2 linked regions of the Arabidopsis thaliana genome follow. The protein of the gene in region 1 purifies or fractionates together with the protein of each later gene. This does not show direct contact. Each region holds a gene or a part of one and is shown in the gene's direction. Other genes may lie near its edges.

Region 1 (6,315 bases):
AAGAAGCAGCTAAGTTTGATCTGGCTTTGCCATACGCACCGTATTGGTGGGGACTTACGGTTGGAGGAATGATGGGGACAGGTGCTCACGGAAGTTCTTTATGGGGTAAAGGAAGTGCGGTTCATGATTACGTGACCGAGATAAGATTGGTGAGTCCCGGTTTGGCTTCTGATGGGTATGTAAAGGTTCAGGTTCTTAGCGAGACTATAGATCCGGAGGAATTTCGCGCAGCCAAAGTTTCTCTAGGTGTTCTTGGTGTTATCTCTCAAGTAACTTTCGAATTGCAACCAATGTTCAAAAGATCGTTAAATTATGTTATGAGAAACGATTCGGATTTCGGAGATCAAGCAGTGAGTTTTGGCGAAAGACACGAGTTTGCGGATTTCTTATGGTTACCGAGCCAAGGAAAAGTGGTGTATCGCATGGATGGCCGAGTTCCGCTTAATACTTCGGGAGATGGCTTGTTCGAATTTTTCCCATTCCGTTCACAACTCTCTTTAGTGTTAGCCATAGATAGATCCTTAGGTAAATCTTTATTTCTCAAGATAATTAATACCAATATTTTTGATTTGCATAGCTATAATGTTTCTTATATATATACTTTTGCTTCATGTCATGCAGAGGAGAGTGAAGAGTCACTTGAAGATGCAAACATGAAGTGTGTGAGGGCAAAGCTAGTATCGTCGTCTATGTTTTTAATGTCATACGGTGTGACTAATAACGGTATTTCTTTTACTTGCTTATACATTTGTTGATTGTTTCGATATAAGATTATACAAAACTTTCACTAGTAATTTCCATGGACAGGCCTAATATTCACAGGCTATCCGGTCATCGGAATGCAAAACCATATGATGTCGTCAGGTTCATGTCTAGACAGTCGTCAAGACGGACTAATCACGGCTTGTCCATGGGATCCACGGATAAAAGGCCAATTCTTTCACCAAACAACATTCAGTGTTTCTCTCACAAATGTCAAAAGTTTCATCAACGACATCAAAGCACTTGTGAAGATCGAACCGAAATCTTTATGCGTACTTGAAGGCAGCAACGGTATTCTCATCCGCTATGTCACATCCTCTCTAGCATTTCTCGGAAAAGAAGAAAAAGCTTTAGATTTTGACCTAACTTACTACAGAAGCAAAAATGATCCATTGGCACCGCGTCTATACGAGGATTACATTGAAGAAATCGAGCAAATGGCGATATTCAAATACAATGCGTTACCACATTGGGGGAAGAATAGGAACCTAGCGTTTGATGGTGCCATTAGAAAATACAAGAACGCAAACGCGTTTTTAAAAGTAAAAGAGAAATTTGATTCTTTAGGATTGTTTTCCACTGAATGGACTGATCAGATTCTAGGTTTAAAAGGAAACGTGACGATTGTGAAACAAGGATGTGCATTGGAGGGACTATGTATTTGTTCAGAGGATTCTCATTGTGCTCCTACCAAAGGTTATTTATGTAGACCAGGTAAAGTTTATAGAGAAGCTAGAGTTTGTACTCGTGTAAGTTCCTAAATCCTAATCAAAGTTTTGGTCCTCAGTTCTGTTATATATCAAAAACCTCATTCCTCTCTCTGCTTTAAGAGAACAGAGCAGTCTCTGTTCATAATTGACAAGCGAAAACGACGTTGTATTGAATTCGTGACACGTGTCAAACAATGAGTAGTTAATCAAAGTGTCACTCGCACGTGAAGAGAGTAGAGTAGGTGGGTTTAGGGTTTAAGTGTTCCAGATTCTTCCAAATTCAGTTGATCCAACGGCTCAGACTTAACCTGAAACCTTTGAAGACGCGATCCTCGAACTTCACCAGTCCGTTTGCACTATGCAACCAAACACACTTTGTATCGAATAAATTAAACAAAAATCATAACTTTACAATCGCATAAATCGACTTTCATCTTCTTCACAAGAAAACCTCTCTCAGTCGCTAAAACCCTTGAACCATCTCTTGATCGCTAGCTTCTAAGTAAGTGTATAGTTGAATCATTTCGATCAAAGTTTAGGTAAAAAGTTGTTTGCTTTCAGATACCCTTGTTTTGATTTGTGTCGATGATTACAAAGTTTTACTTTGATTTGTGTCTTTAGGGTTTATTAGATTCATTCAAGCTATAAAGTTTTGATTTTGATCTGTTTTTGCAGAGAGTGAAAAACCATGGCATCAACCTTTAGCGCAACGTCGTCAATGGGTTCATCTTTGGCTCCTCCTTCGAATCGATTGTCATCTTTTGTTTCGATCTCATCAAGCTCTTTTGGAAGGACTCAGAGTATTGCTCAGAGGAAAGCAAGGTTTCCTAAAATATATGCGGCTAAGCAATTGCATTTCAATAAGGACGGGACTGCGATTAAGAAGCTTCAAGTGAGTCTATTCTATTTCGGTGATTTTGTGACTTCTAGTTCTTTATTGAATAACTTATATCATTTCATTATGTAGGCTGGTGTGAATAAACTTGCGGATTTAGTTGGGGTTACTTTAGGTCCTAAAGGCAGGAATGTTGTTCTAGAGAGCAAATACGGTTCCCCTAGAATCGTTAATGATGGTGTTACGGTCGCTAGAGAGGTAACGGTGTTATCTCTTGTTGTGTCTAATGTGTAATCAGGTGTGAAATCGATTTGTAGATTTTGAAAAGCTTTTGCTGTTTGTTTAGGTTGAGCTTGAGGATCCAGTTGAGAACATTGGTGCTAAGCTAGTGAGACAAGCTGCTTCCAAGACTAATGACTTAGCTGGTGATGGAACAACGACTTCTGTTGTTCTTGCTCAAGGTCTTATTGCTGAAGGTGTAAAGGTTTGTAATTTATTGTCTTTCTTTTGTGAATTTGAAACAACCAGTGTTTTTTGTTGTTGTTGTGATATGATGTGGATTGAATTGTGTAGGTGGTAGCTGCTGGTGCAAATCCTGTTTTGATTACCAGAGGTATTGAGAAAACCACCAAAGCTCTTGTGGCTGAGTTGAAGAAAATGTCAAAGGAGGTATTGTTGACTTAATTAGATTCTTAATCTAGCTCTTTTCATGTGCTTTAGAGGATTCTTGATCATGTAGCTCTTTTCTGGATTGCAGGTTGAAGACAGTGAACTAGCAGATGTTGCAGCAGTTAGTGCAGGAAACAATTACGAAGTAGGCAATATGATTGCAGAAGCAATGGCAAAAGTTGGTCGTAAAGGTGTTGTCACTCTAGAGGAAGGCAAAAGCGCTGAGAACAGCCTTTACGTTGTTGAAGGAATGCAATTTGATCGTGGTTATATCTCTCCTTACTTTGTCACCGACAGTGAGAAAATGTGTGCAGAATATGAGAACTGCAAGGTATTATTATTGTTTATACAGTTAAATCTTAATAGCTGATAAAAAACCGCAGTATTTTTTGACTATATGTCTCTTCTTGCTTTTGTAGTTGTTTCTTGTTGACAAAAAGATAACAAATGCTAGAGATATTATTAGCATTCTGGAAGATGCGATTAAAGGTGGATACCCGCTTTTGATCATTGCTGAAGATATTGAGCAAGAGCCATTAGCGACTCTTGTTGTTAACAAGCTTCGTGGGACAATAAAAGTTGCTGCTTTGAAAGCTCCTGGATTTGGAGAGAGGAAAAGCCAGTACCTTGATGACATTGCTGCGCTTACAGGAGGTTAGACCAATATACTAAGTGTTCTTTACATTATTGCTTCTATATTAAAAAAAAGCATGTTTAGTTTCTCAAGTTGCTGTGTTTGTTTTTCTCTTTGTAGCTACTGTGATTAGGGAAGAAGTTGGACTTCAGTTGGAGAAAGTTGGACCAGAAGTTTTGGGTAATGCTGGTAAAGTGGTTCTCACAAAAGATACTACAACGATAGTTGGTGATGGAAGTACTGAAGAAGTTGTGAAGAAGAGAGTTGAACAGATCAAGAATCTTATCGAGGTACATCTCAAAAAACATTGAAATGTCCCAATAAATTGGTTTTATGTTACGGTGATTAAGTCTTTGGGTTTGTGTAGGCTGCTGAACAAGACTATGAAAAGGAAAAGCTTAATGAGAGAATTGCTAAATTATCAGGCGGTGTTGCTGTAATTCAGGTGAGATACTAAGAAACAAATCACATGATGCAAAAAGCGTAGCTTAAGGTAATAAGAAGAATAATCTAAACGTTTTATATTCTTTAGGTTGGAGCACAAACTGAGACAGAGCTTAAGGAGAAGAAATTAAGAGTTGAAGATGCTCTTAATGCTACAAAGGTAACATCATCTCTAAGCAAAGAGCCTTGAAATGTTTCCATCCATATGGTAGAGACTAAGTTGTTGGACCTTTTAATTAGGCTGCTGTGGAAGAAGGTATTGTTGTTGGCGGAGGATGTACTCTGCTAAGACTTGCATCGAAAGTGGACGCTATTAAAGAGACTCTAGCAAACGATGAAGAAAAGGTTAGTCCAGAAGAGTTGCACAGCAGAGAAAGATAACATGAATGAGGAGTTTGCCGTCTGCGGGTTATAACGCCATTTTACAATTCATCTTAACCTCCAGGTTGGAGCTGACATTGTTAAGAAAGCATTGAGCTACCCACTGAAGTTAATCGCCAAGAACGCTGGTGTCAATGGCAGCGTTGTCAGTGAGAAGGTAATCAATCTCCTTAAAAGAATGCAAGTTTGAGTCTTTTGATATAGAAACTAAGTCAATGGCTTTTTTCGGTTGACAGGTTCTTTCTAGTGACAACCCTAAACATGGTTACAATGCTGCAACTGGCAAATACGAAGATCTCATGGCTGCAGGAATCATTGATCCAACCAAAGTGAGCAAAGTTCCTTACTTTTTCACATATTGAAATCTGCTGTTTCGGGTGCTAACCGAGTTTTCTTCTTTTCAAGGTTGTGAGATGTTGCCTAGAGCATGCTTCATCTGTGGCAAAGACATTCTTGATGTCTGATTGTGTTGTTGTGGAGATCAAGGAGCCTGAATCAGCAGCTCCTGCTGGTAACCCTATGGACAATTCAGGTATCTCTTAGTTCTTCTTCTTGAATCCTCTGAATCATTAACAAAATCTGCAACTTTATTCTTACAAAATTTCTCTGTCGGTTTTCAGGTTACGGCTTCTAAGTTGGCAATTGAGAACAGAGTAGTCCCTGATGAAGCAAAAGCCACGACCAAGTTCTTCACTTCCTGATCTGAAACTTCTTTAAGCCAATGTAAATTATATGTTTTTCCAGTGACCTGAAGAAACATATAATTTGGTTCTGTGTTCTCCGATTCAAGATCAAGTTTTTCAATATGACAACTTCACTAAAGAGACACAGTTTGCAGTGCTCAATAGACTTGATTTAGTTAGTATCATTTTCTTTATTTCAAATTAAAACGAACGAGGATATGCACAAAATCATGAGCAGCAACAAGCCAACAACCAAGCACAATACTAAATTACTACTTTGTTTGTGGTTTTTTGTGGCCTCCATAGCCAATATCTTGATACTTTAAAATTGTAATCTATTTAATTAGTTCAACAATTCTCTTTACCTGAGCATAGACTATGACATAATGTGGAGTATATTGTCTATTACTTTAAAACTTTAAAATGTTCCCCAAACATTAATTAAAAAGACTACCAAGTAAACATCTGTAAAGCTGAGAAGTTTTTTTCATTTTGTATGATCTATACTAAATTTAACAGAACTATTATTGATGATATGTTTTTATATATATGAAATTTGGAGAATTTGTAAAAATCAACCATTTCTAGTGCTTATACTAACAATCCACATCATAATCTTTATTTCTTGTTCGTTCATCGATCTTTTTTTTTTATAAAACCACATTAGTTGAGTTTCAGAGTTGTCAGCAAACTGAAGAAAGATAGTAAAGTAAGTGATCTTCCTAGTAATTTCTTTACAACTTTTTGGTTTATTCTTCAATATATACAAAGTAATAATCGAGGAGAGAAATTTTCTAAGAGCATTTTCAAAGTCAATCTTACTTTAAAAGCTTCGAGTGGGTTCCACTATAACTCTGAGTCTCTGACACACACTCTTTCGTAACCTTTTGTTGTTTTTTCGGGTTTGTTCATAACTTTTTTTTTGTAAACCAAATTTAGAGTTTTAAAGTTGATGATGAACCTACGCAAACGCAAGAGATAGCTACTTAGTTGTCTTCCTTGAAATTTCCTTACTAACTTTTGTTTTCTTGTTCAACCTACCAAAAAGATTTGATGGGAAAAAAAATTATACACTTTTAAGAGCATTTTCAAAGTTAATCATACTTTAAAAACTGCAAGTAAAGTTATACTAGTTTTGCAAAGACATGAAACGATTCTAGCCACATATTTTCTTCTATTTAAACGAATTTAATCGTT
Region 2 (4,486 bases), 5.7 Mb from region 1:
TTCTTGGGTTCACTTCTAGGGGGTGAACCTAATTTATTCACCCCCTCTTTAATAACAAATCAATATTTGCCATGTTATTTGATTAAAAAAACTTAAAACAATTAATATTATCAAAATAAAATAATTAAAATAAATCATTAAAACCCCACTTTTTTGTAAATCCAAACCGATATATAATCTCGTTTAATTACCAAATCTAAGCCCTAATTCTCCTTTATAAACCCAAACCGCCATTTAGACTTATTTAATCGTTAAAAAACAAACCATAATCGTATTTTCTAAACCCAAACCGACATTTAACCTAGTTTAATTGTAAAATCTAAATATGTTTATAAGCCCAAACTAATATTTAACATCGTATAATCATAAAATCTAAACCCTAATCGTATTTTGTAAACCCAAACCGATATTTAACCTCGTTTAATCATAAAATCTAAACTCTCATTTTTTCTAATAAACTCAAACCGATACATAATTTTCTTTTAGTGGCAAATTAGATTTAATAGTTAAATTAATTTTTTATTATTATTACTAGTTTGTTAGTTGGGTTTAAAAGTTTCATCAAAGGAGATTTCATAATTGAATAAGGTAAGTGACGATTTTAAAATAGCTTGTTTTTAGAAGTTTTTCGTTCTAGGTTTGTTCTTATTGCATGTAGCTAGTTAGCGTCATGAACTAGTAACTGATCTTAGGGAGATAAAACCACAAAAGTGCTGAATTTATTTACTTGATCTAACATACATAGACTAGAAACTACGTTATAACAATACAAAAGCTTAGTTGTAGAGCTTTGTTTGTGGAGGTAAAGGAACTTGATCTCATTGGGTGATTGATTTTGTGGCTACAACAAAAATCTGAGTAGTTAAGTTTTTATCGATGCTACAAAATTCAATCCCCTAGTCATCTGTGATTCCAGTTTAAGGAACTTGAGCTAAACTGAATATGCTTTTGTTAATCTTCTTGTATGAGACAATATGAACTTTCGCGATATTCTTAAAGACTCAACGATTAATTATCATACAGTTGATAATAATAGTCGAAAATAACAATCGTTACCAATCCACTTCTATATTATGTATAAAATGATTAAAACTATATTATAAAACAAATAATAATTCAAATTTAAATAAATATTTAAAAATCAAAATTCTATTAGTGTTGTACAAGCACATGTTATGATCTACTTCATCACTATATTCGTCAAAACTAAAAATGTATGACTTTTCAGCTGTCATAAAAGTTTAGAAATATACAATAAATTAATTTTAAGATATCAATTTTAAAAATGATAAATGTTCTAAAATTTTAAATAGGATCAATCACAGAGACTTTTTTTTTGTAACAATTCAAATTATATGATTACTAATAACAAAATCGCAAAGTTTTATATTTATAAAATTAATTCATTTTTATTTAGTTTCAAATAATATACAAGAATATTCAAGCTAGTGTGCTCTGTTTTGTCTAATGTTTTTTTTTTTACTGAGAACTATTGACCAAACTCTTTTGTACATATTTAAAGATTCTTAAACAATTTCACATTTCATCAAAAAAAAAAAAAAGAATATACAAGGATTATCCTGTATAAAAACATAGGCCTAAAGTCTGTATAAAACATATGCCTAAAGTCTTAGCCCAATAAGCTAGATACCGAGCCAATACAAAGCCCAGAATTTAATAGAAGCCCATTAAATCGAGAGAGAGATCGAGAGCATCCATGGCTTGAAGGAAAAGAAAAGTTTTGTTTCTGAACTTTCGTCTCTATAAACCCTTTCGACGACGAGTGAAGAAGAAAGCGAGACGAAGAAGCAAAGATGTTCAGAAACCAATACGACACAGATGTTACGACATGGAGTCCAACAGGTCGTTTATTCCAAGTGGAATACGCCATGGAAGCAGTGAAGCAAGGATCTGCAGCAATTGGACTCAGATCTCGTTCTCATGTCGTTCTCGCTTGTGTTAACAAAGCTCAATCGGAGCTTTCTTCGCATCAGAGGAAGATCTTTAAAGTCGATGACCATATCGGTGTTGCAATCGCTGGTCTCACAGCCGACGGTCGTGTATTGTCTCGGTATATGAGATCGGAATCGATTAATCACTCTTTTACTTATGAGTCTCCTCTTCCTGTTGGTCGTCTCGTTGTTCATCTTGCTGATAAAGCTCAGGTTAGGCTTTTGTAGTTTGTTGATTGAGATTTGGTGGAATTTGGAATCGATTACGCTTGGTTTTGTGTGATTCGGTGATAAGTGTGTTGTAATTGTTAATTGAAATTTGAGGAATTTGGAATTCGATTACACTGTGAATCACTGAGCTCAAATTTAGCCATTAGCTTCTTGACTTTGTGCTTAGGGTTTGATCTGAGCTGATTAGGATTCTAAATTGCATTAAATAAGAGTTTTCTTAATTTATCATAGCAGAAACTTGAATCTTGTTTAGTGAAATTGTTTGCATGTTTGTTGTTACTGCTGCATAATCTTGTATTTAAAAGTTTAACCATAACTAAGAGCTTAACAATAGGATTCTAAAAGAAAGAGATTTGTGTTTCTTCTGGTGCTTTTGCTTGTTTCTGCAGTTTTTATTTGGAGTTATTGATTTTCAGTACCTCTAAGAAGTGAATTCCGCTCTTTGTTTTGCATCGTTCTCACCACTATGCACTTATCTTACCAGTCAATTACTCCTGCTAGGTGCTTGTTCGACATCTTTTCTGTAATTATGTGCTACTTCTCACTTTGTTTTTCCACCTATCTAATGGTTTCTTAAGTTAGCTGTTTTATCCACATCTGCATAAATACTTTTCAAAGCCATTGGGAAGAGCTCCCATATATTATATGTGTTTATAAAAGGAAGGGTCTTGTATTTCCTCATTGTCAAACTTTATTAGTTGGTTTACTCTTTTGTAGGAGAGATTTTACTTGACAGGTCCAACTTAAGTTACATTATTGTCATATTTCTTGTCTTTACCAAGGGTTTTTTTTGTTATATTTCTTGATCTGGAAAAGGAAATATTTATGTGTATGTTTGCCTTTATGAACAGGTCTGTACCCAACGATCATGGAAACGACCCTATGGTGTTGGTTTGCTGGTAGGTGGATTGGATGAGTCTGGAGCCCACCTTTACTACAACTGTCCCAGCGGAAACTACTTCGAGTACCAAGCTTTTGCTATTGGATCCCGTTCCCAAGCAGCAAAGACCTATCTGGAACGCAGGTTTGAGAGCTTTGGGGATTCTTCTAGAGAAGATCTGATCAAAGATGCTATTTTGGCTGTTAGGGAGACATTGCAAGGGGAAACACTGAAGAGTTCTCTCTGCACAGTCGCTATTCTAGGAGTCGATGAACCGTTCCACTTCCTGGACCAGGAAGCAATACAGAAAGTGATCGACACATTTGAGAAAGTGCCAGAGGAAGAGGAAGGAGAAGGCGAGGCTGGTGAGGGTGAGGCCGAAGCTGCCGAGGCTGCACCAGCAGAACGAGGTGGTGGTGTTGCAGGTGACCAAGACGTGGCTCCAATGGAAATGTAAGGCTTGTGTGTGTAACGCTGGAACTATTTTATTTCGATGTTAGTTGGATTTTTACTTTGCAAAATGGCTGCGGGTTTAGATTATATGCTTGAGAAGTTGAAACCATTTCGTCATTTAAACTCAATAGCTGCCATCAAGACTTTCTCGTATTCTGGTCTTTTGGTTTAAATCTGAAATCTGTTCACGACTTCCTATCTCTTTGGTTCTGCAATTCCTTGCTAAAAAAGTGTGTAGTGTCATCTAACTAGGGCTGTCAAGCAGGCCAAGCCAGCCTTGTTAGGCCTGCCCTGCAGAGGGTTTTAACAAAAAAATTGACCAGCCTCAAGTTTCCTTCGAAGGTTAATCTAAAATTTGTTAACCCAAAGAACTCCAGAATTTAATGTTAAATCGTAAATTATGATAAAATCATTAGCTCGACGTCATTTAGTCTAATAGAAAACATAAGTGGCCCCCTACATGGTGACGACTACGAAAGACTTTGGATAATGGGAACCATGTAAACCAGACCCATTGACTTTGCCGTCTCTCTTAATCATTTGCTTTATCCAGCATCCGTTCTCGTATATACACCAAATTAACCATCAAAGGAAAAAAAAATGATCAAGAGTTTATCATTGCATCTAAGAGCTAGTGGATCATATAAAATTGAATTAACAACGAACAGTCATGTTTTCGGTGTCAAAAGACATTGTGAATTAAACATACGAAACTACGTCAAATCGTTTAAGGCAATTGGAAAACACAAGATCTTTTACGGGTTCAGGTGTCTCGTTGTAAGATTATCCTACATTACAACAGGGTTTGAACGATAATCATTGTCAACCGTTTCTATCAAGAACATAGGAACTTTAAATTGTAGCAAAAACGCAATTTCACGATTTTATCGGCAATTTTTATATAAGTTCTGTACTAAAATGCTATTCCATATTTTCCAACGTAAAAATTCACATAATTCACAAATATAAA

The links.
Region 2: the proteins of Cpn60beta3 (region 1) and PAF1 fractionate together in Arabidopsis thaliana (co-fractionation; one large-scale study listed by BioGRID). This does not show direct contact.

Annotation. Positions count from the first base shown.
Region 1 is NC_003076.8:22,871,898-22,878,212, forward strand, and holds Cpn60beta3 (TCP-1/cpn60 chaperonin family protein), read left to right. Parts: upstream 1-1,770; 5' UTR 1,771-1,974; exon of another isoform or gene 1,975-2,011; intron 2,012-2,147; 5' UTR 2,148-2,160; coding exon 2,161-2,364; intron 2,365-2,439; coding exon 2,440-2,565; intron 2,566-2,653; coding exon 2,654-2,791; intron 2,792-2,880; coding exon 2,881-2,976; intron 2,977-3,064; coding exon 3,065-3,307; intron 3,308-3,395; coding exon 3,396-3,630; intron 3,631-3,730; coding exon 3,731-3,900; intron 3,901-3,977; coding exon 3,978-4,055; intron 4,056-4,142; coding exon 4,143-4,214; intron 4,215-4,294; coding exon 4,295-4,399; intron 4,400-4,499; coding exon 4,500-4,592; intron 4,593-4,671; coding exon 4,672-4,764; intron 4,765-4,840; coding exon 4,841-4,967; intron 4,968-5,055; coding exon 5,056-5,069; 3' UTR 5,070-5,510; downstream 5,511-6,315. Other genes in the region: GulLO4 (D-arabinono-1,4-lactone oxidase family protein), read left to right, coding at 1-525, 622-723, 808-1,523. UniProt on the Arabidopsis thaliana protein: Involved in protein assisted folding.
Region 2 is NC_003076.8:17,158,304-17,162,789, reverse strand, and holds PAF1 (proteasome alpha subunit F1), read left to right. Parts: upstream 1-1,633; 5' UTR 1,634-1,814; coding exon 1,815-2,165; intron 2,166-3,034; coding exon 3,035-3,520; 3' UTR 3,521-3,746; downstream 3,747-4,486.